Linked DNA regions of Arabidopsis thaliana. The protein of the gene in region 3 interacts with the protein of the main gene of each other region in a pairwise test. Each region holds a gene or a part of one and is shown on either strand. Other genes may lie near its edges. The genes, in order: bZIP5, NAC097, MBD7 and AT1G51200.

Region 1 (7,767 bases), on a different chromosome or scaffold from region 3:
AAGTCTAGTCTATCAAACTCTTCATTTTCACTAATCGATTTTGATCACTAATCGCATAACAAAACCATGTCCTCACACAAAAATAAATTGCTTTTGTCATCATCAATATCTAATAGAGATGAATTAGAGTTAGCTATGCCAACAAATGTTGATGATAAAATGGTGGTACCATCATTGCTACCTTTGCCACCACCATATCCGTTATCATCAAAACAGTTGGCTAGATCTTCCTCGTTAGTTAAATCATCGTGTATAATGAAATGGAAAAAGACGGGAAAGAGACGAGAAGAAAAAGATGATCCTTTTCTTATTGCGTTGAGAAAGTGTTCAAACGATACAAAAAAATTGACGATGATGACCCTTTTTTTACTGCGATGAGAAAGCAGGGTTCTAATGATATAAACATTGCCGATGATAAGATTGTGTCTAAAAGGAAGAATAGTCTTAAAAGTCTAGTTTCTTGCAAAGCTCCTTCTGTCAAAGATTGATTTTGATTCCAAATTTTTTATTCATTATTTAAGATATCATCTCTCTTCTGTTTTTATTTTTTTTACCTTAATAAATATTTTAAAATATGAATATATATCAATTAGTAAAGCATCTTATCATGAACATAAAAAGGTCTTCAAATTATTGAATTTTCTCTCTTTTTATTCTCCATCTGTCGTTAAATTATAAGATCATGTAAAAGGTTCCAAACTATAAGTAAAATATCTCAAGTTGTCTAAATATCAAAATCAGATTTTTAGTTACTCTTTTTATCTCTTTCCTTTCTCCAAAGTGAAAGAAAAAATAGAGACAGCCAAAAATATCGCAAAAAAGATTTTAGTTTTTGTTACCAAAAGGATCATTTCATACCAAAATTTGATTAATCGATCTCTTTGAATGAGTGTAATCTAGCATATTATTTAAATAGACTTAACGTATGACACCATTATATATCTACTTGTTCACAATAAATGAAAGAGTTTGAGGTACAAATCTAGCATGGTGCATGGAGAACCCTAAATCTCAACCTTCCGGCCACCACAAATGGATTACAAAATAAAAACTTGAAATAAAAAGAAAAAGACAGATTCATCAACACTCAGCTTTGTAGTTAAGTTGTTGTTGTGTATATATATGAACCACATTTGGTTATTTTCCTTTAAATTTTCATTGTCTGTTTTGTTCACGATTTGTTATGCCCCTTTTACATCGTATTAATTCAATGCATTCGAAACCTTAAATATCATATCACAACCTTTAAAGTTTACGCCAGAAAAAGTATTACAAATGTTAGGGAAAAGCATTTTAAAATTTTGTTCATGACTTAAAGTTGGCTACTGTCTACTGTCGAGCCGATTCATGGTCAAATCGTGGACGACAGATATTTGAGAACAAAAAGTAGAAAAATCAACAATAATGGGTATGAATACGTGTCATGATTTACACCGTAATCTTTATTTATCTAAATCAAATAATGGCCGCATCTTTATTCTTATAATCCTCACTAATAATTTCCCCCTTCACATGCATTAACACAAATAATAAATTAAGACAATATAATAGTTTTTTCACTTTAGACTTATAATATGTTTAATTTGATAACAATGGTATTGTTATTATCATGTCTCCATATCTCGTGAAAGGTTAAGAGGGCCTAAAACTTCCGCTCCTGAACATATATGTACACATATATACGTGCCCTTGTGTGTGTATTAAGAGTTTAATACTATATATCTTAGCTAATTAGGATTTAATTAAGTGTAGTTAGTACATGATTAATGCACCTATTTGGTCATCAAACCATCATTATCATCAACCTAACTTTGTCCCTGCCTATATATAGCTAAGTTCGTGATTCGTACCATGTATATAAAACTTAACATCTAGTGGAAATAAATTCATGTTATCTTACAATTACTAAGCCTCTTTATTTTCCTTTAAGTGCTTACCTTAGACCAAAAAATACATAAATTATCATGTTCAAAAACTATATATACTTCGAATCGAAATATATCCATTAGCCCATTAATTAGGATACAAAAGCTTAATTATAATTAAAAGCATTGAACCTATTAAGAAAGACCGAAACAAAGATAATGTTTTCAGGGTGATTAAGACTGCCGAGAAATTAGTCGACCTCTTTACGAATAATTGAATTTGACCTCCTTATTCAAAATAGTATTTAATCAGGCCATATTCTCATATTCTATATTTTAGACCACGAATTTATATATTAGGATACCAAGACCCATCTATTTTGTCGTTGCACGCGTCATTTAATCATTTTTCAGGGGAATAATTTACATTTGATCACTAGAAAGTTGTAGGATAGGAATCTTACAAAAATTAAATCACTGTTTCGTGTGTGACGTTTTAGAATTTATGCTTGGAATATAGCTAATTATGCTGATAACATTCTTCTTTTTTTCGTTTAACTTGTAATATATTCCTCTCAACTTATGCTGATAAAATTCTCTATCGTAAGTTACGACTATAGAAATGATCACCCTCGATCATCTAAATTCTACGAGCTAGAGACCTTTATTGTTAGAACTTAATTATGATATCGTAGTCATCTATTTCGTTTGTGCTTATTTCTTGAATATATAATGATATAAAGGTATATTCAACAAAGCTAAACGAAAAGAATAGTGAAAAGAAACAAGTAGATAAAGGTTATCGACAAATTCTGCCAGTAACCCATTTCTTCGTTAACAATTTTAAACACGTCAATATAATTAATTAATTATTTATTTATTAATATATAAAAAACGAAATCTAATTTGATAACGTATATCCATGCATTTTTCAATAATTGTTTTTACAAATTGTTCCCATTTTACCGTCGAAACAATTTCAGAAACCTCAACTTATGATAACATGATCGACGGATCTTGCTGGACCGTAACAACAGTACTGTTATTACAAGGCCAAGTGGCACAGTTTGATGAGCTTCGTTAGGTTTGACGAAACATCAAAACTTGTCTGATGTTCAACAACTTATCATGCAGTATACGGTGCTCCATAAGTAGACGATCATTTTCCATCTTCGTTCGTTGACAATGGTATAAAACGTACCGAAGCTGGTTCTTCAATTCTTGGTTCTGAATTTTGAGTTGGTTTAGCTGGATACTCATCTCCTCCAAGTGCTTTTGTTTCTTCTCTCTTGACCGCTTAGCCGATTCCCGGTTCGATAATTTCCGTTTCTTTTTCCGCTCGTCGGTATTGTCGGTCGGAGACATGTCTGAACCGATCTGGTTTACTGAACCATAGTCATGGGTCGAAACCGGTTTTGGATCGATTAATGAATCGAAGACCGAGAAGAGGTGTGAAATGTCCCATGGAGTGAAACTGGTTTCAAAAGCTGGGAGGACAGAGGTTAATAGACCCGGTTCGGTTGAGAAAACCGGGGAAATAGTAGACATCATGGTGCTTAACCGGAAAATAAAAGAGAGGACAATTTAAAATGATCTCAAAATGTAGAGATGCGAGAGAGATTAGAAGGGGAAAAGGGAAGAATTGCATTGTTGGAGGTCCATATTTATGGACGAGAGAATACACACATGAGGCTATTTTGGTCAGACATTAGTAGAATATTGATGGGGGTTTTTCCTAATAACTTTTTAGATTTACTTTTCTTTTTCTTTTTATCTTTTTTTCAAATTTTCTTTTTCTAAGAATGAAAAGAGAAAGACCAAAAGATGAGGAAATGAGTCGCATCAGGAGAGGAAATTGTTGGACACGTGTCGGTGTAGGATTAGATGTAACTCAGAAGTTTAAGTTTAATATTTCAAGTATGGAGAGCCAATCCTCGTTTCCTCGTAAGAACACTTTTCAGTTTTTACGTTTTAACTTAAAGAACATTGGATAGTACGAAGACTCAAATTTAATATTGGTCTTTAGATCTTCTATGAACGTATGATTGTTGAACGTGATCTTCGATGTTTAAAGGAAATCATTTTTGTTAGTGTGTTTTTACTGTTTAGCTAGACTTTCAAATAGGAAGTAGAGACTTAGCTTGTGTATTCAACATTTTCTTTCTTCTTTGCTAAAAGTTGATAGTTTCGATCGTAATAATCCAATTAGATAATTTTATGTAATATTATTGTATGTTTTGGGATTTTGTTTTTTGATCGTGTTCTTTATTTTTGCAACATGTGCAAGTCTAAACCTCGTTACAAAAGTTGAAGAAGGAATCTTAGTTTTTTTTGGTTAAGATTCCTTTCTTTTATGGTATATGTAACTGCAAATATAGTTAGTGAAATCTACGTTCTGAGACAGAAGATAAAGTTATGGACCAAAAAGATGAAAAAGCATCCTATAGCATTAAAAAGAAGAAGAGATATACTTAGTTTGCTGTTATATATAGTGATATGCATGCATACCACTGTATTTTAATTTTAATTTTATTTTTATTGGTCGGCATACTTTTGTATTTGAAATTAATCTGATGGATTACTATATTCTAGCTAGGTATAAGATATAAAATTGTTACAAAACCGGCAAAAGTAAAGGAACTTGGATCTATCTAATTAGGAAAGTTACACCTTGAATTTATATTGGGATATGATTTAATCGATGTTATTACGTCTTGTTTTCAAATACAGTCTTTCGAAAAGTTGTCGTATGTATTTAGAAAATTGACAGTCCTAAGATTTTCTTTATTTCCATAGAGATATTGTTGTCTTATCATCCGAATTCAAATTCGGTTGAGTGTCTATATATTAATAATAAAAGAAAAATCGTAAGTGCTACTGAGGAACTAATTTGATTCATAATTACTATTTGCTAATTATTAGTTATACCAAACCAAAAAGACTAGAGGGAGGGGAGGGAATATTCGCATGGCAGTTTTCTTAACAGCAAAGCTGTTTTAAAGAAGCCGTTCCTAAGGAATACAACAAAACAAGAAAAAGCATGGCTTAATAATCAAATTCTTTCAGCTTTATAATGTTTTCAAGTTTGTTGGAGATCATGTTCATGTGCACGACCACTTTAACTTTGTTCAACAAATAAAAACTAATTTAAAGTTATTTGTAACCAATAGTAATAACAACTTTCCTTAAAAAAACTGACCAATAGTCACAACATACTCATACGAAAACGAAAAAAACAATAATAATTTTTTCTGAAATAAAAAAATGTAGGTATTAGTTTCGTGTTTTTAACGAATTAGTCAGTAAAAACTATAGTTGTAACCTGTAGAAATGATGTCTTCTCTATTTTACTACTACAATAATACATCTAAACAAAAAAACACAAATAGACCAAAATTTGTAAATTTTGTTGTAATTTATATCAAAAATCAAAAAGAAAACAAATTTACTATATATTTTGCTGAAAGAAAAAGATAAGTTGTAAATTTACTATATGTTTGTAGTATATTTACTACAGTAAATCCTGTATAGTAGATTTTGTTTGCAATTTACTCGATTTTTGTTGCAAAATTTGTTTTCTTTAAGAATTTTTAAATCGAATCCGTATAAATTAATGTTTACAACTAACTTCTCAATTTTTTTTTAAATATATATATATTGTTATAAATTTTATGGTATACTATAAAACAATTCTTAATATAAAGCATGTACTAACGAAGCCGGCACTCCCGGTATTGGATATGGTGTTAAAATAAGGGTAATATTAGTAGATAACCAAATAAACATACAAATTAAGAAACTAGCAGAGAAAAAGTTTTTTTTTACAAAATAACCATGGACCCACTTTGTCGGAAGAAATGAAATAACAAAGTTACCCTTCATTTGTTGTAAGATAAACAGTAAACGAAACACATCTGTGTAATTTTTCAAAATAGCATGTAACATTAAAATTTCACATGTTATATTTAGTTTAAAAACATGCTATTTCAAAAAACGTCATGAATTTTTAAGAAAAAACATTATTATGAATTTTTTTTACATGAACATAATCTTTAAAAGAAAAAATTATATGTGATTTTAATAAAAACCGTGTATTACAAAAAAATAAGAATATATTTTTAAAGAAATCACGTGTGATCTTAATAAAAAACGTGTATTACTACAAAATATCATGATAAAAAGAGATATTAAACTGAATAGAATGTTTTTCCAAAAAATACCATGTGCTTTTTATAAATACTATATAATAAGAAAAAATAACAAGATAAAAAAAGGATATTATGTTATCGCATGTATTTCAAAAAAAATATATTACAAAGGATATTTACGTAATTACATGTGTTCTCCAACATATTTCCGACAAGGTACTCTGACTCAAGGTTAGTTTGTACATTCTTTTCAAATCTATAATCATTTATTATAAATTCTCTTAAAATAATGGATATGAGATGGGTCTTAAATGATCCATATATATCAGTGCTGAGGGGCTAAAACGCATGGCCCATTATACTTCTAAAAAAGAAGTATGTTATTGTAAGTCAGAGACAGCAGAGGTGTGAGGGCCAATTTAGATGATCTTAAGCTTTTTTCTTTTTTTAATCTTATTATATCACTAGAGATTATTAATCTAATCTTATTACGATGATAATCAACTACCTACAGAAAATGCGATTATGTTCTCTCGCAAATCTTCGATAAACTTTATACCATTAATTTGTAAGAAACTGTGTTTTCTGAGACTCTAACTCCAAACTTAAATGTAAAAGTATTCATGAATTTTTGGTTAATAATTGGACTAAAAAGACTTCTACCGATGATATTAAGTTAATAAGGATATATAAGTTTATATTTTGTAAAAAAGAAAAATTTGGTTATTAAAAAAAAGTTTAGAATTGGACAAACTAGATAACATTTCAACCGTCGTGAAATCTTTGAATCTTCGTTGTTATGTATATGTTCAGTTTAACAATGTAGTCCATATGATTTCATTTAGCTGACTTTTTTATTAGTATCACCAAAGAATTTGTTTTTCAGGTTTGTATGTAGGATACTAGTCTTGAGGTTGACATATTGTTGACATGGAAAATCTGCGTACAGCTTCTCTCTGCGGCGATGTTGTTGTTTACGTATTTTTCAGATCTCATCACACTGATTTTGTTGATAATGCTGCGGTTTTATATTCAGAAGAAGAACCTTTGCCTTCCGCTTTAAATTTGTAATCCTTCAGACTCTAGGAAACAAAACAAGGATGAGAGTTTTCTGGGATATCTTGTGTTGATCATGAACGAATAGGATGTACTCTTCCATGAAAGAAGTCTTCTTCTTCTAAACCGTCACGTTCTTCTTCTTCCTCTTCCATGGAGGAAGCTACTTAGGGTTCGAGGAGGAATTTAGATGAGCAGGACTTGTGGCTCGAATAGAGTTTGATGTGGATGATTGAATTGCTCACTTATTATATTATCTTGCCCTAACTTGTACTCTTCTAAATTGGTGACTATTGGGACTAAGATATATGTCAATCTTCTATTTCCTAGATTTACTTAGATACGATCTTATCTTGTATAAGAAACTATAAATACTTCTCCCTTCTATTGAATACAACTAGACATTACAACCTATATTTCATGGTATCAGTGAGCAATCGATGAAATCACCACCTATGTTCTCGTTCAGCCTATATTGTTTACTTAAGTGGCTCTCCTATCTCTTGGAAAACAAAGAAACAAGACACAGTTTCAAGCTCATCCACAGAAACCAAGTATCGAGCAATGGCTTATACACTTAAAGAACTCAAATGGATAAAGCCACTTCTAAAGACATTGGGGTTTGATCATCAACACCCAATTGAGTTACATTGTGACAGTCATGCCACACTCCATATTGATGCTAATCCGGTCTTTCA
Region 2 (7,871 bases), 3.4 Mb from region 3:
GCCAATGAGTTGGGAGGATGATGAATGAATGATAATATTTAGGAATCCGAGAAGAAGAAGCGAGAGAATGTGAGATTATTAAAGGGTTGAGATTGTGTGATGTTGATTGGTTAGTTACGATTTGTTTGCTAAATTTGGTAAATAGTGATTTATTTAGGCAAATACATGAGTTGGTTTAATTTTTATCTAAGTGACATCTTCATTCTTATTGTCATGTGTGACTATTACCGTTCGTCTCTAATGAATTTGCAGATAACTTTGATGTCTAAATAACTGTATTGGTCACATGACTCATAACATCATTAATGTCTCCAAGATTATTTGTTTAGTCAAGAAAAAACCCCGAAAAACGGAAAGTCTTTTGTGAGGGTTAATCTAAAGACTTCTTGTTCTACATGAAATTGGATGGTTGCAAACTGATAATGTCTTAGTAATAATTAAGTCCAATTAATTATGCATAAAATCATATTGTTAAATTATATTAAAATTGTGGTGATTTTAATCTTAAGTATGGTGATAGTTGTCTTCGCTTCTACACCATCCATGCATATTGCATACATATTGCTCATCAGCCTAAATTAATCAAATGCGATCACAACTATATCCTCTCATTTTTTGTATCAAATCAAGTCAATAACCCCCACGAGTTTACCATGTATTTATTTTAGGAAATTCTATATTTAGAAATCTTGAATTCAAAACAAAATATACTAATGATGAAGGAGCATCTCCATTGCATATAAAAGGAGAGGGTCTTTAGCTATATTAAAAAAATTATAATTATAAGATATGAATAATTAAATATAAAAGGGTCTTTAAATTTGAGACATCTCTCTCCAAAATGTCTCTATAAAGACATTTGAGACATTGTGTCTTAAATATAAAGATACCCAAACATTAAAATATTATACTTTCTTTTACATATCCTACTATATTATTTGGAAAGTACATTTTAAATATAACATTAATTTTTTAAGTAATTACATAGGTATATCATTAGAAATAAAATTTTAAAGAGTAAATTAATTTATCTCTTTAAGGATTAAAAAGTCAAATACTAATTTAATTAATTAAATTTAATTAAAAAACGAAATACATTATTAATTTTCAAAAATAATAACCAATCAAGATCAACATATAAGATTTGATATTTAAATTTTAATTAATTTAATTAAATTTAAAAAAATACATTATTAATTTCCAAAAAAGTAACCTATTAAAATCAACAAATTAGATTTTATATCTAAATTATCATATTAATTTTTTATTAATTATTATAGTTCACTTCTCATCTTTATATGATTCTATTTTTGCGAAAAAATAATATCATCATTATAAAAAAAAAATTAGAGTTTTTTCGCATATGCCATAATTTAAATTTTTAAAAACAAATATAAACTGTTCAATACATGAAAAAATATTATAAAGGGTGAAAAATAGATTTAAGAAAACTTTCTACTGAGTAACGGGTCATAATTTGAAATATTTATATTCAATTTCATACATATTATATTGAAAATTTATAATCTTATATACTATAATAATTAATAACATATTAGATTTTTTTATGTGTATGATGTGATTCAATTTTTAATACAAGCTGGAAAATCCTAGAATTGACGGGTTTAGATCGATATTAATACAAGATGGTATACTACATGTGAAACTCTTAAATTAACAATTAAACTACAAGTGTCTAATTATAAACACTAAACAATATACATAATATCAACAAAACATATACAACTCACAGTTTACTATACATTTAAAATCAAATAAAATAATATCATATATTTTTAAATCATCTTTACAATAAAAGTTTTTAGTTTAACTAAAATATAAGCCTACCTGCGGTATACTGCAGGTTAATATCTAGATTATAAGGTTTATTGGATCTAAAGACGGGTCATCAAAGATTTCCTAAACTGAAGCAAAATATACTGAATACTCAAATATCTATCTGTTACCAAATTATAAACAAATAAGTTCGTAAAACAATTTAATATTTTATATATATAATCAATTAAATCTTAATCACATAAAAATTAGCACAAAAAAAAGTATTCAACAATTAAAAAATTATCAAATCTCTGTGTTATATAAGTTTTGATACTATATTCGAATAAAGTGTAATATACCTTTTCAATTTGTATTCTTTAACTAATTTAAGCTAACTAATATATTTGCTAATCTTTTACCTATCAAAACCGACTATCGTTTCTTATCTCTATAGTATTTTTGCAAGACTTTTTTGGTGGATTTGGGTAAAAGTGCATTCGGGTCATATGGTACATTCCCCTATTAAATAAATATGGTGTACTCCTATTTATTAGCTAAAATGTTTAGATTATAATTCAGAGTCATATCATTAATAAAATTAATATTAATAAAATAAATGGCTTTTTGGCAAGACAGATTTGGAGTGACGGGTTTTTGAATCAACATTAATAAAAAAGTAAAATATAATTAATCCACCGTTTCAATACTGGTTAAATATTTAATTTATTATTTTTTAAGACCACTAATATTAAACATATCAAATCATCCTAATTTAGAAAAGATTATATAAAACCGAAAATATTATGTAGTATGTATAATGTTACTATATATAAAATTAAACTATAAAATATAAATGTATTAGAGAATGATATAATTTGCAAAACTTTTATATATAAAAATAATTCTTAAATTTTAAAAATTACTTTTTTAAAAAAAAATCACGGGACGGGTAAAGAAATTATACAACAGGTTTTATTTTGGAATTGGATTATATGGTGGATGTATTTGAATCAATATTTATAAAATTTTAAAATATTATTAATATGCTGTTTTAATAGGGGTTACAACTTCAGTTTTTTAAAAATTGTCTCATGGATTCGTGGTATAGCGTTACTTAATAATAATTATAAACTGTAAAATATAAATATTTTATAAAAATAAAATTTGCAAATTTTAATATATATTACTTTTAAAAAATAAATCGTCCCGCGGTATATCGCGGATTAAAATCTAGTTGTATTTATATTGTGGGAAGACCTCCTCATGTGATGTTGGATGGATTGGTCTAACGGACCACTAATAATATATATATATATATAATTGGACAAGAACAAAATAAAACGGGAGAGTGAAAGCAACTTGTGGCATCTTTCACCACATCCTCAATTACATTCCATTCCATTCCAAAGGGCTTGGAAGACAATAAGACAAATCATGCATATATATTTCATTTAGATGTTCCCTAATATCCTAACAATAGTAACTAAATTCAAACGATTCACCACAAAACCAAGTACATATATTTATGGCATCAACCTCGGTCGTCACCGGCTTTGAATAACTTCCTCGCCATCAGACTCGTCAGACTCGTGCTCATCCTCCACCATCTCTTCATCATTCTCTTCCTTCACTACGACTTTCACCGCCCTCCATTTTCCTACCTCACCCTTTAAAACCCAAAACATTGATATAGTTAGCTCTAAACTATTACTTACAACAAAAATATATGTTATAGAAAAAGATAAAAGTCCAATGAGTGACTCACCCGAGGTAGAGGGGACGATGACCACCTTGTAGCTCTAGAGGAAAGAAGTCGGAACTCGTACATGATCCATGGAGTTATTGTCCCTCGAGGTTTTTTTCCAATAAAGAAAGCAAATGTCTTTCTCCTTCCTTCTAAATGAATACAATCACGACCACCAGCCTCCATTACTTCCTCTTCTTCACACTCTTCCCAATAACCGGATAACGTCTCTCTTCCCTTCCTCTCTCGCTCTTCCTTCTTCACGAAGTAATACACTTCCTTGTTCTTCTCTCCTACAACAAAAGTGTACGTACAACATTCACTAAACCACATTTTTCAATACATTTGACGTGATATGGTATAGTAATTATTAGAGAGAAGAGTTTGTAGCAAACCTAGCAAGTCCCATGGATCAACATTGCAAGAACGGAGCTCAGGGAGATCGAAGTCCATTGGACGGTGGAGGACCTTCTTGGCGAGATACTCGAACACAAGATCTTCATCATCGGGATCGAACCGAAACCCGGGAGGGAGTCTCATGCTTCTTCCGTTCATGGCAAATCTCTGCGCAGAAATGTCCATTGCTTTCTTATGAGTATCCTTTGTGTTTGGTTTAGGTTGTTTATATATACTTATGAGTGTGTCACCTTTAGTTTGGCAAAAGCGGATTCTGCTTTTCCTTTAGATACTTTTTACGTACTACTATTAATTTCAAGAGATAAATAGATAAAAAAAAATTGATAACTGCAAATTCAGAGATCGTAGATTGGTTTCATTTTTGTTTATTTAAATGCGAGGATCATCATAACAAATTGTGGTGCATGTACCCATGCAGTCAACGTTGTTAAGGTTTTGAATATAGCGAGTATTCAAAAATATCTTTATTTTTTTGGTAAAGATAATCTAGTTCCTTTTTCGTTTTCCTGGGCAAAGGTAATTATTTATTTTTTCAACCAAAACGAAATAAACAAGATTTAAGTTCCAAAAGCCTAGATCCACGCTGATTCATTACCATATAAGTACATTCAACATCAATAACTAAAACGAGCACATTTCTAACAATTGGCCCAGAACTAATTTTAACATGCATTTGAAATTTTATTTTTCATAAGCCGATCGGTTAGCCCAGGTAAAAATACACGTAAGTGTTTAGAGTGGATTTAAACCCGAAAAATTACCACAGTGTTTATTCCAAATCTGAAATGTTTTCACACCGAAAAAGAAAACAAACCTTTATGTTAGGGACCTTACACATGTTTAGGGACTAGTGTATATATCATCCATGTAAAAATATCCATGCGACCCTTTTTTTTTCTTATAGTAATGTCGGAATGATATACGAATTATAGATATGAATGTACATAAATAAGCGAAAGTTTTGGACGTACGTTCAACCTATAATTTTGTAGTAAAATCATTTCTTGGTATAAATTTATACGTGGAAAAGGAAAACTTATATCATCGAGGAATCAAAATTTTCTTTGTCTTTATCATTTGGCAAGTGAAATAATAATGTCGGGATACAATACATTTTTAAAACAATAAATTTAAGTAAATATGCATAAGCAATGATTAAGAAATAAGAAAAATATAAGAAAGTATATTCAGAAAACAAAAGTGAATTTGAAAGAGAGTCCAAGTCGATCCCAACTTAAAGATTTGAGAAGCTGACTTAACGAGTAAGTTATTAGATGTTGGTCTGACTCAATTTTCTACTCTCATGCACTTCTTTAATTTCAATTATTTTAGATAAATTATTGTATATATGTGTGTCTTTGGACTGGTGACTTGCCTTTTATCCTTCCTTTTTTTCCTTGGATCAATAAAGCTCCCAAAGCCCCCACCAAACCAAAGTTGTTCCAATTTTTTGCTTCAACTTTCCAGCATCAGCCTTTGATTTTTACAAATAGCATTTTAGGTTTAGTCCTCTTTGTATAATGTTATGTTTTATACACTAGAAATAAAGGTTACATAATTTGTCTTTCGAAAGACTAAGAAAAGAAAATGAAATGGATTAAAGATGATTGTTTCATTGTTAAGGAATCGAGATTAGTTTAATTGGTTGGAACTTGGAAGAGAGTATTCATCAGCTTTCTTTTGCTGAATCTTAATTCGAATGCAACATGACTAGCTTATATTTGATAAATATTTTAAATTGTTAACATCTAGCTTTAATTCTAGTCCAAAATTTCTCTATATAATTTTCATGTGTTGAAAGTAGGCAAAGCTCTATTTGTTTTATATTCATAAAGGATATAGAAAAAGCTTTAAATTTGTCAATTTAGAATCATATGTCTTACTCCTCCCACGCAGCATTTTGGATTTGGTACTTTTCTTCACCTCGAAGATGTTGGCTTTCCATTTCCTTTATTTGTTTGTTTTCAATCTTCTTTTTACTTTAGATTTTGATGATTTAGCGACATTTCTTAAGCAACGACATACATAAATGAAAAGTTTCATTTCTTTATAACTTAGTGTTGTCAATTGATGGTTGATATTGATATGGTACAAGCACCATCTTCATGTTCAATTATTCTTTTTAACCATACATACACTTGAACGTAATTTTTTGATTGGTTCTCCAATGCAAAAAGAAAATAGTTTTAAAATAATGTCTTTGAATCTAGTTCTAATTGAATGGGTTTACCAAAGCATACTAAGTTAGTCAAGTAAGTTACTTTTCTTTCCTTTTTTTTTTTTTTTTTGAATACCAGGAGGTTTTGGGACGAAGCCCGTAATTCCCTTAGGTCCGAAATTTGTTCCAAGCGTCACTCGAACCGACGACCTCTAAACTTTAAAGTTAATCACAATGGAGATTGTAACATTTTGATTATCTTGGAGCAAATGAATTCTTAGAAGAATATTTGATATACACCACCAAAAAAATACATGAACTAGTCAACAAATAGCTGGGTGAACCGCCAGTTCCCGGTTCCATCAGAGTTTTAAAAAGTCCGGTTTTATGACTAGTTTAGACCCAAATGTGCCTGCTGGTTCCCTATTAAACCGGTCGGGTCCGGGTTTAAAATCACTGAGTCTACCCACCCTATATATCCGTACACTCGGCCCAGATCATGATCCATATTTAAATCAAACTTTTACATATTTGATCTCAATATGATTATTTAACTGTTGGGCTTTTAATGGGGGTTTTGGCCCAATAAGTAAGTAAGCGGCGTCTCTTGAACTTTATTGTAGCCTTTTGGGGTTTTTGAGAAAAGTTTTTAGGGTTTTCAGTCGCTGAGAACAATTTTCTTCTCCTTCTTCTTCTTCAAGCAGAGACGCTCTCAGCTCACCAGACATGGATCCTAGCATGGCAAACAACCCGGAATTGCTTCAATTCCTCGCCGTAAGTCTCCGATTTGTTTTTGATGAATGCTAATTAGTTCTTTCAATTTTAAAGCTTTTTAAGTCGATTCACATGGAAACTTGAGCATTTGGACAGCGAAATTATAAGTAGAAGCAGTGTTTTAAGTCCTGTCTGGATTCACAGAAACCATTTATTTGAATCTTCGTTGACGGGTCAAATTAACATTTCGATGCTTTAAACTTGAAAGATCTGATTTTTTTTTTCATGTGTGATTTAGTTGGTATGATTAGAATCAAGTTGAATTGAGATTTAGTGTACTAATATGTGTTTACAAGAATTGGGTTTATTAGGGTTTATGCAAAGTAATGATTTTTTTTTGTCTTGGGTTTATGTTTGGTGAATTGTAAGAGAATGTGGGTGTGTGTTTGTGTGGCAGCAAGAGAAAGAAAGAGCAATGGTGAACGAAATGGTGTCGAAGATGACAAGTGTGTGCTGGGACAAATGCATCACAAGCGCACCGGGAAGTAAGTTCAGCTCAAGCGAGAGTTCTTGCCTCACTCATTGTGCTCAACGCTACATGGATATGAGTATGATCATCATGAAACGCTTTAATTCGCAGTAAAATTGATTGGAGGATATCATACTTGTTGGAATTTTAATTTATCCTTTTTTTGTTTCTCTTGGCAAGTGTTGAAATCCCTTTTATTACTCTAGTGATCTTGCAAGAGTATTCTCGGATAAGTGTTTTAGGTGTTTCTTTATGGTTATGTGATTGAGATTGTTATTGATGGCTAGTAATATATTAAGAGACAAGTGTTGAATAATGTGGTTTTAATAAGGAGGGTTGTACAAGGGTTGGGTTGAAACAATGAAACTTGCTAAGTCACATAGAGATTGTGGTGAAATGGCACTTTACTTTGAAAAGTCACAAACCAAAAAACCTCGAGACACTGAGAGATCGTGAGAAAAAAAGAGTAAAGGCCTTCTTAAGGCTAGGAATTGTTTGGATTTATCACTGTTTTACTTTTAGCAATTAAT
Region 3 (8,806 bases):
CATTGAATTTTTTGCGGAAATATTTCAAATCGCTGGATCTCTAATATGACATTGATGTTTTTTGTAAGAAAATCTTTGTTAAATGTATTTGAACAAAAAAGTAATCTGTGTTTAGTAAAACACAACTTGAACCAAACTCAATTAGAGGTAAGTAAAAAGAAAAATTAGAATAATCATTTTTAATGTTGAATTTCAAACCGAAACAAAAAAATTAGGATTTCATTTGGTACGTACGAGGCTGTTCGTGGAAATTTTGCGGGACATTGTTTTTTTCCCGGGTTTAAGCGAGGGACTAAAATCTAGGTTTAAAAAGTATTATTAGTTTCACCCAAATTGAGTTTAGTGCAATGCCCCGGTTACTTACTATTGGACTGCCGGTTTACTAGTCCGACCGGCCGGTTTAGTCCGAGTTTTCTTATACACACACCAAGAAACTAACTGCCTTCTCTATTGCAGCCATGAGAATGCAAAAGAAGCCATCTTTTACTCATACAAGAGACATATCAATGGCTTCGCCGCAATTCTTGACGAAAATGAAGCTGCAGAAATCGCCAGTGAGATCATCAAACCTCATATTCTGCTTTTGATGCTTCTCAATCCTTTTAGTTTAACCTAACAAATTTTTTAAAATAATTGTATGCAGAGCATCCTGATGTAGTCTCTGTATTCCCCAACAAAGGAAGAAAACTTCATACCACTCATTCATGGAATTTCATGCTCCTTGCGAAAAATGGTGTTGTTCACAAGTCCTCTCTTTGGAATAAAGCAGGATACGGAGAGGATACAATCATCGCTAACTTAGACACAGGTAAATCTCAAAACAAGGGTATGCTTTGGTCATCATAATTGCTTTCATAGTTATGAATGATATAAAATATGTATGTTGATGAAGGTGTGTGGCCTGAGTCAAAAAGCTTCAGCGATGAAGGGTATGGAGCTGTTCCAGCTAGGTGGAAAGGTAGATGCCACAAGGATGTTCCTTGCAACAGGTTCTCATCTTAATTTAGTTGACTTCTTTCTGCAAATATAGAAATATACAGAGAATGTGATTATTGATTCGTTACATGTAACCAGGAAGCTCATCGGTGCTAGATACTTCAACAAAGGTTACTTAGCTTACACAGGCCTTCCTTCTAACGCCTCCTATGAAACCTGTCGTGACCACGATGGTCACGGTAGCCACACTCTTTCCACCGCGGCTGGTAACTTTGTTCCCGGAGCCAATGTGTTTGGTATCGGGAATGGAACAGCCAGTGGTGGTTCTCCTAAAGCTAGAGTCGCGGCTTACAAGGTGTGCTGGCCCCCTGTGGATGGCGCGGAGTGCTTTGATGCTGATATTTTGGCAGCGATTGAGGCTGCCATCGAAGACGGCGTGGATGTTCTCTCGGCTTCAGTGGGAGGAGATGCTGGAGATTACATGAGCGATGGTATAGCCATTGGATCCTTCCACGCCGTCAAAAACGGGGTGACGGTTGTGTGCTCTGCTGGAAATTCAGGTCCTAAGTCTGGCACTGTCTCAAACGTTGCACCATGGGTTATTACAGTCGGTGCTAGCTCCATGGATCGGGAGTTTCAAGCTTTTGTTGAGCTCAAAAACGGCCAAAGCTTCAAGGTTTGATACTTTGACCTCGTCTTCTTTTTTTTTTCTTTCACTTTTGGTTCCTTTCTTTCTTGTGCTACAAGTAATTAATTTTGAAAAGCAGGGAACAAGCCTCTCAAAGCCTTTGCCTGAAGAAAAGATGTATAGCCTCATCAGTGCTGCAGATGCTAATGTAGCCAATGGAAATGTGACAGATGCGTAAGTAAACGCTTGATATCTATTTTTTGGAATGTGTATAATTAAGTAAGTACTAATTAACTAGTGATGGTTACATAGATTGCTATGCAAGAAAGGTAGCCTAGACCCGAAGAAGGTGAAAGGGAAGATCTTGGTGTGTCTGAGAGGAGACAACGCACGTGTGGACAAGGGAATGCAAGCGGCTGCTGCTGGAGCTGCGGGAATGGTTCTATGCAACGACAAGGCGAGTGGAAACGAAATCATCTCAGACGCTCATGTTCTTCCTGCTTCACAAATTGACTACAAAGATGGTGAAACTTTGTTTTCTTACCTAAGTTCCACAAAAGATCCCAAAGGTTACATCAAAGCACCTACCGCTACGCTGAACACAAAGCCTGCTCCTTTCATGGCCTCTTTCTCTTCCAGAGGACCAAACACCATCACACCAGGGATCCTCAAGCCCGACATCACTGCACCCGGTGTCAACATCATAGCCGCCTTCACGGAAGCCACGGGCCCTACAGACTTAGACTCTGACAATCGAAGAACTCCTTTCAACACCGAATCAGGAACTTCCATGTCCTGTCCTCACATCTCCGGTGTCGTTGGTCTTTTGAAAACACTTCACCCTCATTGGAGTCCTGCAGCTATCCGCTCAGCCATCATGACAACTTCAAGAACCAGAAACAACAGACGTAAGCCCATGGTTGATGAATCCTTCAAGAAAGCAAATCCCTTCAGCTACGGTTCAGGCCATGTCCAACCCAATAAAGCCGCCCATCCTGGTCTTGTCTATGATCTCACCACAGGAGACTACTTGGACTTCCTCTGCGCCGTTGGCTACAACAACACCGTGGTTCAACTCTTTGCCGAGGACCCACAGTACACGTGTCGCCAAGGAGCCAATCTTCTCGACTTCAACTACCCTTCAATCACTGTCCCAAACCTCACGGGCTCTATCACCGTCACCCGAAAACTCAAAAACGTTGGACCACCTGCTACCTACAACGCTCGTTTCCGAGAGCCACTTGGAGTTCGCGTCTCCGTGGAGCCAAAACAGCTCACGTTCAACAAAACTGGTGAAGTGAAGATATTTCAGATGACTCTTCGTCCCTTGCCAGTGACGCCTTCAGGCTACGTTTTTGGAGAGCTGACGTGGACTGATTCACATCATTACGTTAGGAGTCCCATCGTCGTCCAACTTTCAAGCTAGCCTCATTCTTCATTCTACTTCATCGTTCTCACTTTTCTTCTATGAATCATTTTATATGTTTGGATAATATTTTAATGTTCAAAAAAAAAATAAAAAAAATTGAATTAAAACACATTCTTTCTTAAAACAGTTTAATTTTATTTTGATGTTAACAAATAACTATCGGCATCATATAATTCATTACCTAAAATAAAATGTATAGCTAGTAAACCAAAAACATTGATTATTTTTATTATCTTTGTGATTAGCATATTTGATTTGCATGTGATTATTAACTTTATTTTTCATTAATCATCTTCTAATTACAGAATTTGTATTAAGGTAAAAATTTGCCAAGTGGACATATGGTGCTTTTTGCGTGTCGTTACGTGAAAGCAGTGACAGAGAAATAAGAAGTGTGTGTGGCTTGGACGACCAAACTAAAAACCACACTCTCGTCTCGGGCTTTTGGGTTAGACCCGGCAACGAAGCGATGCAGACGAGATCCTCTTCCTCTCCTTCGGCTAACCACCGCCGCGAAACCCAGTTGCAGATCGCGGATCCCACCTCGTTTTGCGGCAAGATTATGCCTGGTTGGACCGTCGTGAATCGGCCGCGATCTAGCAACAACGGTGTTGTTGATACGGTAAATATGAGCTACATCAAGCAAATGTGAAACAAAATTTGAGCTTTTTCTCAGAATTTGAACAATTAGAGCTAATTTATGTCTTTTGTGCAATGGATATGTATGACCAAAGTGTAATGCTTGGATCAGATTAGTGATTGTGTTGCCACAGAGCTCTTGATTGTTGCTTGAGAGGTCTATGAGTCGTTTCTTTGGGTATATGCTTGAGTTGAAGATAGATCTTGTGGTTCTCTTCTGAAAAGTCTCATCTTTACTTGTTTTTGTTTTGTTTTGTGGGCAGTACTTTATCGAGCCAGGGACTGGTAGACAGTTTTCATCACTAGAAGCTATTCACAGACACTTGGCTGGAGAAGTAAATGACAGACGCTTGACTCGAGCAGGATCCTTTTTCCAGGACAAGACAAGGGTTTATGAAGGATCAAGAACCAAACAGGTCCTTTGTTCTGATTTGAAATTACAGAAGCATATGGTTCTTCTTGGATCAAATACTTAAAATCAGTGTGTTTATGCTTTTGCAGGATCACTGCGGAGTTGAATATGCCTCCAAAGGTTTCCGATTGCCTAGAGGATGGTCCGTTGAGGAGGTTCCGAGGAAAAACTCTCATTATATTGATAAGGTACTAATGTAGAGACTTGCTATAGCTATTTTAGACCCTATGCATAAGTTACTGAGTCACATAACTAACAACTGAGGTCGGTTAAATGTGGGATGTGAGAAGAGCAGAATGTGAAAAGGATACGTTGAATTGGTGGTTTTAGGATTGAATCTCTGGCTAAACCGTTAGTATTGTTCTTTGCAGTATTATGTTGAGCGAAAAACAGGAAAGCGCTTCCGTTCTCTTGTTTCCGTTGAGAGATACTTAAGAGAATCCCGGAACTCTATAGAGCAGCAGCTTAGGGTTTTACAGAATCGCCGTGGCCATTCCAAAGATTTCAGGTTACCTGATGGATGGATCGTTGAGGAGAAACCGCGAAGAAGTTCCAGTCATATAGACAGGGTACATATCTGATACTTAGGTAGTTTGGTTATATTTGGTTTGTGTCATATAGTCCAAACGTTCAATACCGTTAGTACTGTTGTTTGCAGTCATATATTGAGCCAGGAACAGGGAATAAATTCCGTTCCATGGCAGCCGTTGAGAGATACTTGATATCAGTCGGGAACATTACACTTGACTCGGTTTCTATGGTGCATTCGGAGCGGCTTCCTGTAAGTTTTCTAAGCTTAAAGATAGATGAAGTTTGATTTTAAGCTTTACATCATTTAGAGGTAAAGAAGATGAACCATTTCTATACAAGGTTGTAACGGTTTGACTGTGGCAGCTTCTGATGAACCGGAATGGTATCAGATTTCAGAGCGAAGTTATTGACCCAAACCCACCGAAGAAAGTAAAGTGGGTTCTTACCGGTTCCGGCGGAAACATGTTCACTGCGAATGTACGCGGATCGAATGTCTCTAGCTTGGTTAAACATACATGGTCCGAGGCATTTGTTTCACTGATCGAAGACCGCTCTTAACCGAACTAGGTTTGTCAATTTAGTTTACGGTTAACAAGAGCTAATTCCAGTCGGTAGTCTGTTCAAGTTCATACTTCGGTCTAGTTTATAACTGACCCAAATAACCGGCTTTTCCAAAATTTTCAATTTCATATTCGGTGTGAACCGGATTTTGGTTATTCGGGCAGGTATGTTAGTGCTCATATTAAGTTTGGGGACTTAAAATTCGAAGTTGTCTGTAGTAAGGTGTAAATAATGGTTCAAAATTCCAAGCTTGATGTGAAATGGTTGTCTAAGAATGATTTTGTGTGCTTCCTCTCTAATTTTTGTATTAACAACTTCTCCTCGTTAAACATACTCGCCAAATACTTAGTATGAATCTAACTATAAATGAAAATCAACATTTTGTGTACGCCCCAAGTGGTTCTCACGAGTATAATATAGAAATTTACAAGATTATTTCGATTATGAGAGTCCATCGTTATTACTAACGGTTAAAGCTAGTAGCTCACCTTGGTTTCTTGGATTGAGACTTGAGAGGGTTTATATGACAATTATATCGTATTCCATGTGAGATATAATTACCTCTCTTCACCGGTTTTTGCTGTGAAACTGTAGAAAAAATAATGTTAACTGTAGTAAAACTGTGAAGCACAACGTGTACACGCAATCACAGATCTTTTTACCAAAATATGTATGAATTCACTTCAATGAAGTCAGTCACCTACTGCAAGATCTTATGTATATTTATATAATTATCTCTATATCTATCCTTGAATGTACCGCAATAGACTAGATATATGTCAAATATAATACAGTGTACTTTATTTTGAATTTGGTCTTAACCTTTTTCTTATTTTTGTCAACCTTTACTTTTAACTCAAAAGCAAATATCAATAAGTGAATTATCATATGCTTTGTATGTGTAATTCTATATTTAATTCCTTTTTTGATGTGGAACTTTGACAAAATAAACCAAATTCTTAAAAGTCTGGTTTCCATACTAATGAATGCAGATTGTGGGAATTTATAATGTATTTCTCCTTTTGCATAGAGTTTAATGATGTACAATGAAAAAGATTTTGAATAACAGTGCTATTTAAGACTTCTAGAAATGGGTAAGTGGAAACTTCTAAGATTTCAAAGTCAAAAGACAACATTGTTGTTGGTTATTGAAATTTCTTTTTGGTACGATTATTTTTAAAATATTGTGTACGTGCTGCAAATTGATATTGGAGTTGACGCCACAAAAGCCAAATAGGCCAGAATTAAAGGGCATAGAGACTTTTCCCTGAATAATTTGTAGCCTCAAGGTACCACCCCAACATTGACTCTAAGCTATTTACACTTTCAAGGAAAACTATCACTTTACCACATTTCAATGGAGTATTCAATAGTATATAAATAAATGTTTTCGATGTATTTCTGGTAATTTCTGTAAACTAATCACGCCAAGTCAATTTGTTGGAGGGCGTTTTCCCTACAAATCTATATATTTTTGTTGTTCTTTATGTATTTGGTCCAAAATCGTAAATATCTACACCTTAATTTCTATGGTTACTAGTAGTACTACTACTATGCATGTTGGAAAAAGAAGCTTCCTATGATCATTTGATATTTTACTCTAAACTGAAAGGAGCTATCAATGAAACCCCAAAAGTATGAAAAATGGTCAAAACTAACTGAAATTTGTAATTTAGGTTCCCAATCACTACGATAAAGTAATATTGGGGTTATAAAAGAAAACCAGATTGAAATTAACCTCAAAAGACACCTAGGCTCAGACTACAACATTATATATTATATATTCACCCATCATGTTAACTCTTAATTTTTTTAGCATGCAAAGGAATTGTTATAGTTTACCTACACAATTCACAATGCTTTACAAACTCATCATTCCCTATTCTACTTTTCTCTTCTACTTAAACCCAAAATAAGCTTGTTAGACTCATCGTGCCGTTTTTGTTACTGCTGCCCACCATTGTTCCTTTTAGCCACCGGCTTTGGTTTTCTCGGAATGCACTTAGCTCGAACCGCTTCTTCCTCATCCTTCTCCGTCGTTGGTCCCATTCTTGAACACCTAATAAAATTTATCAAATATCAATTATTATAACCTTTCATTTCATTAAAAAAAACTATTAGAACTTTTAAAAATTGAGAAGACGTTTGAAAGACACCCCAAAATGTACTTCTACAAACTTTACCATTTTCAGCTCTTTCAATCAACAGTTCAACACACCATAACCAATAATTGCCAATGTACGGGTAAATTCATAAAAGTTAAAATAGAACTACGTGCCGTTTCATCTAAAGAGAAATCGAACTGCTTGATGTTTTATTTTTTTACCTGTCAGCATTGTAAGAAGAAGATCTTTTCAAAGCAGGAACAAGCTCCTTCTTGGTCTCAATCAAACTGCCGCTAAAATACTCCTTATCTTCCAATTGTACCCTTCCAAAACTCTTTAATTCCTTATCTACCCTCTCCTCACCATTATCCTCTGCTCCTCGCGTTATCGTACACCCGCTACGCCCGTTCAACGCCAGCCCTTGATCTTTCAACAAAACAGGCCCACATTCTTTAAACGACATCGTACCACACGATATCAGCTGCATTAACACAGCCGAAGCTCTCATTCTTCCGCTGGATAAACTCTCGACCGTCCGATGATCGGTGCTGCTTTCGCTAGGACGCAATATCAGCCGTCCATCGGCTTTGATCAGATTCTCTAATGTCTCGGGACTTGAATCCGACGGTGGAGGAGATATCTCGTCTCTGCTCAGCTCTGTACTCTGATTCTCATAACTCGCCGGACTTTTCACCTCTTCTATTTCCTCTTTCGCCGGTCTTCTCCTCCGTCGTCTATCGTCAGTCTGAGTAGAAGCGTCCGCAGCGAGTCTTTGAGTTGACTCGGCGCTTGACTCGGTTGCTTTGTACACTTTGTACTCGCTGAGATCGATAGAGCTCCAAGACTGGTTCCTCCGTCGATTTATCACCGCCGGGATATCATCGCCGGAGTTTTTATCTGGATTTAAAGATCTTGGGTCTCTAAACGACGACGTTTCGAGGAGGCTTCTTGGGTTTGAGATAAGACAAGAATCAAGAACCTCAGAGCCTTTGAGAACATATTCTTGACCTTGAACAGGGAAGATGAAATCGTCCTCCGATAAATCGTGCCAGACAAATCCATTTTTGTAGCTCCTGAACAATAAAAAAATGTCAAGAGATTTTAAAAGGAAGAGGCTTTATAGAGATCCGACGGTGGAGGAGAATCGTTTACCGTTTCGAAGACCAAGAGTAGAGACTTGCCATGCCTTTCCCTCTTAGATCATTCAAGCGGTTTATCACATCTGAGAATTTGGAAAAAACCAAATTAAAGTTTTAAACTTTTTTAGTTGCTCAATGAAGTTCTTGATTTTGAAATAAAGATACAATTCGAAAACTTGCCGCCTTTTTCACTGTTATGTTTCAGAAATAATAAAGAGTAAAAAGCCAAAGAGAACAGAGAGTTTGAAAACCTTTTGAACTCAAAAAGCTACTTTCTTGAAAAAGCGTTTTCATCAGTTTTTGGGTTGATTTATTATTACCTTTGAGATAAAGACCATCGTGGGAAGAGAGAGTGACTTCGATGAAATGAGGATGGTCAAGCTGACCATTCCGGCAGAGATAATAGACGACTGGGACTTTCCGGTT
Region 4 (9,207 bases), on a different chromosome or scaffold from region 3:
AGATACTTTTAAGTAATAGAACAAATTAAAGACTTGTGGTGCAAGCTTAAATCAAAATGGCAAAGAAATTAAAGCCTAATTTAAATATGTAATTTTCAATTCATTTTTGGAAAAAATGTCGAAAAAATCGTGAACTTTCAAATTTGGGACGAACAAAGCATAAACTTTTAAAATGCCATAAAAATCCTAAACTTTACTTTGACATTTTGAAAAATGACCAACTTTCGTTGACCAAGCCGTTTTGAACATGGGTTGTAGATATTTAGGTTTTGAAAATGCACCCATAGGGTTTGGTATCTCTCCCTGTTTTAATGTTCCAATGATTTATGAAGTTGTATCTGAAACCCAATTTTTCGCTTTGTATCTGCTTATTAGATAACATGAGGGTTTTAAATCTAACTAGCTCCCTCGTTAATTTATACTGGTTCAAAGTTTTGTAATTCTTAGTGAGACTCTAGCTATGTAGATACTTGATACTTTGACAATGAAAACACAATTTTGTTCATTTAGAACTCTTTTTAAAAGCTTATTCATTTAGAATCATATCTTTAGAGAGCTCAATTCTTTGACAAGTCTTTCTAAATCAACACTAGAGCTTCCTCCTACTTCAGTTGCAGCTCGTGCCTTCTATCCCATCTCCTTAGCCCGAGCACGCGCCTCGCCTCCACTCTCACCCATTGTGTCAGCGATAATCCGACCCATCTCATACGGGTCAGGCACAGTCTTACCCCCTTCACATACACTAACCGCCACACCCATATGCTCCACTACCAACCTCGCATCTACAAACTGGTCTGCTTCCATTGGCCATGCCAAGATCATTGTTCCGCTAGCCATCGCTTCCAGCACCGAGTTCCATCCACAATGGATTAAGAACCCGCCAACCGCCACATGACTCAACATAGCCACTTGAGGAGCCCACCCTCTCACAATCATTCCTCGACCTGCGACCCGATCCTCAAACCCATCCGGTATCGGGTCTTTCTTAACCACCCATACGAATCGGGTCATACTCTTCTCGAGACCAAGAGCCAGATCATCACACTGCTCTTTGGTTAACACCTTTTGACTTCCGAAGCAGATGTAGAGCACTGAATCATCTGGACATCCATCTAGCCAACTCAACAATGCCTTTGCGTCTACATTGGATACGGAATCTTCCTTACTTAACCCGACTGAAGAAAGCGGACCAACACCGAAAACGCGGTTCTCACTCACTTTCTGCTTCACATACTCCATGTAATCCTCTTCCAGACACTCACAAGTATTGAAAATACAACCATAACTCGAAAAATTCATGGTACTGTCTTTAACACTTTCAAGATCTTGCGATAATGGAGACTGAGGGATTAAAGACGGGAGATGCTCTGTTTTGAAAACAGGGGAGCGAGGAAGATCCGATAAACAGACAGGCTCAGTTGATTCAAAGAGATGAGGCTTGTCAGAGACAAAATGGAGAATCGAAGCTAAGAATGCTCCAGAACTGAAGAAAGCAAAGCGAGGAATACCAAGATCTTTGGTCCATCCAAGGAAGAAATCAGAAATGAGAGCGACCGGTGGATTTGGATGAGAACTTAACCAGTTGACGATAGGCTCTCGAAGCTGACGAAGAGAAGCCATGATCAAGGGATTTCCGTAACCACCTAGATCTTTAACGTTTTCAACCCCGGAAGGGATTAAAGGATGGTGAGGGAAAGGTAAAGTGACGACGGAAACAGCGGATGGATGAGCGGAGAGAAGAGGAGAGAGGTAAGGAAGGTTTTTAGGAGTGACGATGATGGAGACTGTGAGGCCACGAAGACAGAGTTGATGGGTTAAGTCGAGAAGAGGAAGCAAGTGGCCTTGTGCTGGATATGGAAACACCATGATGTGAGGTTTTAAACTGCCACGTATAGTTTCCGGTCGCGGCTGCGGCATTGCTCTGTTCATTTCTCGGTTGTTGTTTACGCTCGGTGGTGATATTATAGAATGATGTGTGTGTTAATGTACGATGATATGTGCATTGGCATTTTATATGTCTAGATTTTTTGTTGACCAAAAAAAAAACACGAGTCTAATTTTTTTTATCTTTTTTTGAAGTGTGTTATATACTTAAATTGATGAGATTATGTATGCCATGTGTATAGTTTCAATTTGGATCCAAAACGCGAAAAAAATATCAAGTTAGTTGTATCCTCTAAAGTCTAAACTAAATAGAAAGAAATCTACGTAAAACTAGAAACAAAAATTAAATGCAAAATAATGATTCATGAGAGTTGATTTTCATCTATATTTAACAATGACATTTTGTTCTAATTAAAAAAGAAATAATAATTGGTAAGTTTAATAATATATTATTTAGATATTCTATATATTTTAATTAATTTGAAGAAAAACTTCAATTAGAAAAAGTAAAAATATATGGAAAATCATAAAATTTCTTGTATTTATATTTGATGATGAGATCAAACAAAAGTAAAGAAAAAATAGTAAATTTTATTGTTAATTATTACTATTATTTTGTTATTATTTATTATTATTTTAATTTTTGTTTTTGTTGTTCTTTAACAAAACAAAAAAAAATATTGTTTGGTATTTTGGTGAAATCAAACAAAACTGAAAGCGGAATAAGTACGTAGAAGATGCGGTGCTGGGGTTTATGAGGAAAACGAACGTACGCTTGATTGTTTGCCAAATCTTGCGGTTGAGATAGTTACATGTGTCTCTAGTGAAATGGTTGCGGTTGAGAAGGAGTTGCGGTGAAGCAAAAGCGCATCAGTTATCACTATCAGTGATGACTCATCAAAAAACCGGTAAAATCAGATAAAACGCCGTTTGTTGTGTAGGCAATGAACCAAACAGTTCCAAACATTTTTATACGATGTCCTCAGGAACTAGTATATAGTATGGTGACGTTTAAAGCAACTCCTACGATGCCGTTTAGAGCAAGTTGATACGATGCTTACGCAACTTGATACGACGTCGGTTTTTCACATAGGACATGTTGTAAAGCAAGTGAGGACGACACCCTTTGGAGCTTTTGTCTCCTTACGATCATCTCCTTCTTCTATGGTTATGGGCGTTCGTACTCAGAACAGGAAAAAGCGAGCTCTTCAGTGTTTATCGACCCATATATACACATATATAGTAAGCTCATGACTTTGCAAAGTTACATAACTCACCAACCAGAGAAATTGAAAGGAATCACTGATTGAAGGACAAACACAGGCCTTTTTAAATAAGCTTCATGTAGCTACAGAGACAATCTCAATATGATACAGACCAAACAGGAAACAATAACACAGTGCTCAAAAATAGTAGAAAGATAAACACACAAAGCATTTTTTTTAAGAGCACGTTTCTCTGCTTGCAAACACAGATAATAGAAAGTTCCACACCACAGAGAGATGGAAGACGCTAAAGATCAAGCACGCTTTCATTCGACCTTATATAAAACCTTTTTAACATGAGAATACTTGAACCAGACACAGACAGGAGAAGGAAACACCAGGCCACCTGATGAAACCAGAGAAGTTTACTTAGATTTTCAGATTTTGTCAAGCTTCTCTGCTTTCACAACCGGGTTTGCCTTAGCTATCGCCTCTTGCGCAGCAGCATGGTAATTGAAGGAGCAGTCATGTACGTCTGCATAGCGGTGTGTTCCGCAGAAGAGGCTCCCACAGCGACATTTGAATCCAGTCAGGCCAACCCGCTTATTGCAAGTAGTACATCGGCTTGGTCCCTTTGGTTTCGCAGCTTCTTCTGGTGCTACTACCTCTGCAACGACTTGGACAGAGGATGGCTGTACAGAAACAGTCATCGGCTCAACGGATTTGGTTTCAATATCGACCAACGCAGCGGTAAAGGTTTCCTTTATGATGTTGCTGGATGACGATGTTCCAGACACTGCAGATGCAAACTTAGCGCCCTGCTCCTGTTGGAACAACATATCCTTGTGACACTTAGAACACATGTTCATTGTGGCAGCGCTTCCAAAGAAACCGCAGTTGTTAGTACATAGCTTGGGACCTTCAGGTGGGCTTTGGCATCCTGTCTTGTCGTGGTCCATTTCTACATTTAAAATCAGCCATCTTCAGTCTCAGTGACATGGAAAAATAAAACAAAAATTCGCAGAAGATTCACGATGATGAGTACATTTAAACCCAATCAGTATCATCAGTTGCCTTAGAAAATCAGTGCAAAACATACACATGAAAATAAGCAGATGAACAATTCTTTTCATGAAATAACTTATCTGGATACCTTACACATGATCTTCATAGTTTATAACCACACTACCTATAAGCACCTTCCTATAATTCAGGATCTTTAACTAAATAGAAAGAAGAGAACAAAAGCAAGCCTAGAGCCATTTCTCTGCTAACTCTAGAACCTGAAACAGACAAACAAATCTTGCTGACCTGTTTTCTAACAATAAGCTACCCAACCAAACAGAAGTGTCTAGGTTACCTAGCACCTAGTACCACATTCATTAGGCAAATTAGAATCATAAATGAATCATTTTAAAAACATTAGAGCAGCTAATCTTATTTCTATCCAACACTACTTAGAAATTAGCCTCTTATATCAGCGTAAAGCTATAAACTTTCAAAGCAATTCATTTCAAGCTTCTAAAACATGCAAAACTCACATACTAATCTAATTTCCATCTAACACTACCTTTCTTAGGTTACAACTTTTCATAGCAATTCATTTCAAAATTCAAAAGCATACAAAACCCACATAGCTAATATCACTCATATCCAACACTACCTCTCTCCACAGAAATGAAAATTTTCAAAACTTAGCCTTTTAAATCAACAAAAACAAGAGTTACAACTTTTCACATCAATTCATTCAAATTTCCAAACACACACAAAACCCACATGCAAATATAACCAAACAATCAAATCATTAAACAATCGAGAACCATAAAAAAGAATTCACATCAACAGCTTACAAATGAACCCTAAATAAAACCAAATCCCAAAAGCTAATTCACCTGTTTGCCCTTGAAGCCTTGATAGATCGGTCCCTAATCAATAAAAAAGAGACAAAAACAGAACACATAAGTTGACCGAACAAAGGCCTCCCACACAAAGGAGGAATCGAATCGAAATGGAAATGAAATTAGAAAACAAAATCGAGACCCAGAAAAGATTATAAAGGTGAAAGCAAAATAGAGAAGAAGAGAAACCCTTTACCCTACGAATCTCTCCGAACAAGATCGTGTCTGCTGGAGAGATCCAGCAGAAGCTGAGAGGTAGAGGAGAGAAAGAAAGAAAAAAGGTCGGCTTTTTAGGCTTTTTTTTGGTTTGTCTCGACGATTTTTTTTGTAGCGACGTTTATATTTTCGTTTCACACCGTTTGTGCTAGAGTCGGCTATGACGTGTACGTATCTTATTGGCTCTGCTTTTGATTTTTTTACTCATTTCAAATTTCAATTCATTTTACTTTTTTGAAAAAAAGAGTTAAGGCTTCCAAATGTTAACTCGCTTTTTTGAAACGGAATTAGACACTACATTTTTCAAGAACAATTAGTTAATTACCAATAGTTTGAAAATGATATTAAGCTTTTTGGTTAATATCTAGAATATAATATATTCTTTTTCCAGTTTTATTATGGTTATTGTTTGACAAGTGTTTGTAAACTTCTTAATTAATAATAATCTTTTATATTTTAAAAATTTATATATTAAGAGGAGATGGGTAACATAGTTGTTGAGGGAAGAATTGGGCTTCCTCCAATTCAGGTTTTAATTGGAATAAACTCAAGGAATGGACAATGTCCAATAATAATTAAGGTAATTGGGTCTATTTTCAACTTAAAATTCGTTTGGAAGAAAACCTAATCGATGAGTTAGCGTCTATAAAAAGCCGAAACCATGTCAATAGGTCGGAAGGTAGATCCACCAATTTACTTTGACATATGTCCTATCTTGGTTCTTATAAATACAAAATAGCAAGTCTTGTCACAAGATCTACACTTTATGTTGACATAGAGAGAGTGCACTATTAGCTCGTCCTCAAACCCATCGAGCTTGTCCAATATTAGTCAGCTCGTTTTATATGTCGTTTGGTCCGCCTCTTGTTCATACTAGTCGTTTCAACAGGACAACCCTTATAATTCGTTCACTTCTCCTAAATTCGGACTCGTTTGATTAAAGAAAGATTCTTCTTACTTTTTTAGGGATTTTTATTTTCTTACTAATGTGTTTTGTGCATCATCCATAATTTCGCATATTAATTTATGTAGTATGACATATAAATTAATGTTAATAGGTGATAGTATATGTTATGAATCTAATTTTGTGCTAGAGAGATACATAGCATACAATATATATGTAACTCATAATATATAATTTCATTCCTTATGTAAACTGAGAATTAAAATCATCCATACATTGCTATTAAATTATATTTTTGTGAGATTTCTACAAATTTGAATAGAATTTTTTTGAGTAATGTAATGAAAAATTACAGATTATGTGATCATTAGTGTTATTGATAATGGATTGTGTATCAACAACCACTTATATAATTTTGGTGATAATTGCCAATTAAACAAGATTCTTTCTCGAAGAAGTATCCGACAAGAAGATCTAGCTATGTTTAGCAAATTTTAATGGATGCAAGATAACTCATAAGCAATTGTATTATATGAATAATAGATAATTCATGAAATGAAGTCAGAGTCTTGAAATAATTTTTCTCCTACCACTAAACAACTTCTTCAAAGACATATTGGAGCCACTCACATCCTACTATGAATATCTATGATCTCATTTTTCTAGATAAGAGGCTATAAATTTGACAGAGATTTAAGCAATTGTTAGACAACAAAATTATTAATAAAAGAATGGTTCTTATTAGTTCAAGTATCTACAATGGAGCATATACAATCTCATGGATCACATCTATGAGAAATATATACGGTTGTATATAGTTATAAACTATATAAAACTACAGTTTCACTTCTCTAGTTTATGTTTATTTTATTTTAAAGTCTTAGCAATCATTTTAGCAAAAAAATTATCTAACTATTTTGAGACGGTAATCATTCCAAAAATCAAGTATTTTTGTTTAAATGTCACAATACAAGAGTCTCTTTGTTCTGAAGAGTTGTATACTAAACAATTGTAAGCTGATCTAACATGCGAGTTTTATAAAGACATGTCTAAGGATAATCAAAGTATGGTTTCCTAATGTAAATAATAAGAGATATTTTTAAATTACCACTAATTATTTCTCCTACGGATGATCAACTCTTTAAAAAATATCAATTATTAACTTTACTTTCTTTCTGAAAGTCAACAACCAAGACTTTTTTTTTTGTGTGCAACTCAACAACAAAGACTATTCTTACATTATACACATAATATGTACCTGCATATCCGTGTACTTCAATTGAATCGATCAAAAATGCTAAAACTTCCCTTGTGTCTCTTAGATTTGTAAAGTCTAGTACTTGTAACATTATCATTAATTGTAAGCACTACAAAAATCAGAGAAAATACATACTTTTGGGTTTGAGCAATACTTGTATTTCACTGTCTATTCTCTAAAATCATAAGCCAAAAGCATTTTGTTTGGCTATTCAACAAGTTAAAATGCTAGTTTATTTCTTTGTCATTTTTCAAAGTGAATTGAACTCCTTAATTAGTCAGTTATATATGAAACAAAGAATACAATATATGTTATTTGTTTTACTTTACATGCAATTTTGAAAAACAGAATATTATACAGTTATGTGAATAGTTATCTAAGAAGCTTTCTCTTAACAGGTTAAGTCCTTGATTGTCGATTTTAGTATGGAAAAAATCAATGTCAGTAAAAAATAAATCCATTTGTTGATTAACAAGCATGTAAGCTATACAATCATACCTTGAAGGGGTAGAATCATTTCTCACCGAGAAATAGTCTTCTGAAAGTGATGATTTGATTAAAATCTCTAAGAATGATCCAAGATTTGGTGTTTGGAGAAGTGGAGGAAGTTATACACTACTAATTTCGTACAACGTTTTGTTCTACCAGCATTTTTTTTATAGATCAATGCAACAGTGAAATGAATGTTATTTCTATGTGAGTAAACGCATAATCACAGATCTCGAGCTACCCATATTTTTTCATTCTTGTAACGACCAGAAACTCAGATAAGTATGTTTTTAAACTCCTTCCCAAAAGGCATATGCTTTGTGACCCAAGAATTAAGCTTCTTTCCCCATTATTGGTTGTTGAGGGACTTGAGAGTTGTAGTCCTTCCAAAAGAAACCTTTCTAATAAGCAAAAATTATGTGCACACTGACTAAATAGAGTTAAAGATTATGTATAGAGACATAGTAAGCATTATAATTATGCACAATTTTCACTTAAATTCATAAATCTACATATACATTTTTGCATATATTTTGTGAAATAAATCATGGAGTTGTGACTTATTTACAATGGCTGCCACTAAATTTTAATTATTTGATTTTTTTAATTAATGGTTTGATTTTTTACGGCAATTAATTGTGTAACAAACCAAAAAGATTTAAAATATATGGCAATCCCATATGTCACGCAAAACATAATAAATTATCTTCTTTTTATCTCACCTACAATATTCATTAAATCTTAAAACAACAAAAATTTGAACTATTTGAATTATATGTATTAAATTTTGGCAATAAATTAAAACAAACATTGTGAAACAAACCAAAATACATTTACTATCCCGTATGATGAACAAATCCAATTATATGTGCACCTAAAAACATTCATTATCTTGGTTTGAATCTTCCATGGAATTAAAAGTTCATAATTTTTTCGGCATAAAATCACAATCACAACTAATTCCACAACTAATATTTAAACTTATAAAAAATTAAAATATCATGAGACGAAAAATATAGCCGGACGGGTTTGGATAGATATGAAATATAGCAAGATGGATTTAAATTAATATAACACAGGTTAAATATTTATTTTGTTATTTTATCATCATTAATTTTTTTATTTACAACATTAATATAAAATTATATAACTTTAATACTAAACTAAAACCGTAAAATTTAATATTATTATATATATGAATAAAATATTTGCTACGTGGTGTACCATGGGTTAAATCCTAGTAAGTATGTATAATCAAATAAAAATATAAGAACAATAAATCTTCAATTATAAATTACGAATACAAGTTTGAAAAATTAGTCAGAAGGGTTAGCTTTTAAACAAAATTCGGGT

What was found.
Region 1: the proteins of MBD7 (region 3) and bZIP5 interact in a two-hybrid assay, tested with the Arabidopsis thaliana proteins (one large-scale study listed by BioGRID).
Region 2: the proteins of MBD7 (region 3) and NAC097 interact in a two-hybrid assay, tested with the Arabidopsis thaliana proteins (one large-scale study listed by BioGRID).
Region 4: the proteins of MBD7 (region 3) and AT1G51200 interact in a two-hybrid assay, tested with the Arabidopsis thaliana proteins (one large-scale study listed by BioGRID).

What each region holds. Positions count from the first base shown.
Region 1 is NC_003074.8:18,452,624-18,460,390, forward strand, and holds bZIP5 (basic leucine-zipper 5), read right to left. Parts: upstream 3,503-7,767; 5' UTR 3,417-3,502; coding exon 2,946-3,416; 3' UTR 2,608-2,945; downstream 1-2,607.
Region 2 is NC_003076.8:20,675,459-20,683,329, reverse strand, and holds NAC097 (NAC domain containing protein 97), read right to left. Parts: upstream 4,109-7,871; 5' UTR 4,106-4,108; coding exon 3,919-4,105; intron 3,893-3,918; exon of another isoform or gene 3,857-3,892; coding exon of another isoform or gene 3,817-3,856; coding exon 3,545-3,816; intron 3,447-3,544; coding exon 3,324-3,446; 3' UTR 3,056-3,323; downstream 1-3,055. Other genes in the region: TIM8 (translocase inner membrane subunit 8), read left to right, coding at 6,825-6,872, 7,270-7,455.
Region 3 is NC_003076.8:24,091,079-24,099,884, reverse strand, and holds MBD7 (methyl-CPG-binding domain 7), read left to right. Parts: upstream 1-3,352; 5' UTR 3,353-3,462; coding exon 3,463-3,615; intron 3,616-3,895; coding exon 3,896-4,048; intron 4,049-4,133; coding exon 4,134-4,232; intron 4,233-4,415; coding exon 4,416-4,613; intron 4,614-4,702; coding exon 4,703-4,825; intron 4,826-4,938; coding exon 4,939-5,133; 3' UTR 5,134-5,526; downstream 5,527-8,806. Other genes in the region: SBT5.4 (Subtilase family protein), read left to right, coding at 457-554, 644-808, 893-989, 1,075-1,612, 1,704-1,798, 1,877-2,990; AT5G59790 (UPSTREAM OF FLC protein (DUF966)), read right to left, coding at 7,081-7,195, 7,463-8,314, 8,394-8,463, 8,701-8,806. UniProt on the Arabidopsis thaliana protein: Transcriptional regulator that binds CpG islands in promoters where the DNA is methylated at position 5 of cytosine within CpG dinucleotides.
Region 4 is NC_003070.9:18,980,531-18,989,737, reverse strand, and holds AT1G51200 (A20/AN1-like zinc finger family protein), read right to left. Parts: upstream 5,458-9,207; 5' UTR 5,184-5,457; exon of another isoform or gene 5,015-5,183; 5' UTR 4,982-5,014; intron 4,051-4,981; 5' UTR 4,049-4,050; coding exon 3,527-4,048; 3' UTR 3,104-3,526; downstream 1-3,103. Other genes in the region: AT1G51210 (UDP-Glycosyltransferase superfamily protein), read right to left, coding at 628-1,929. UniProt on the Arabidopsis thaliana protein: May be involved in environmental stress response.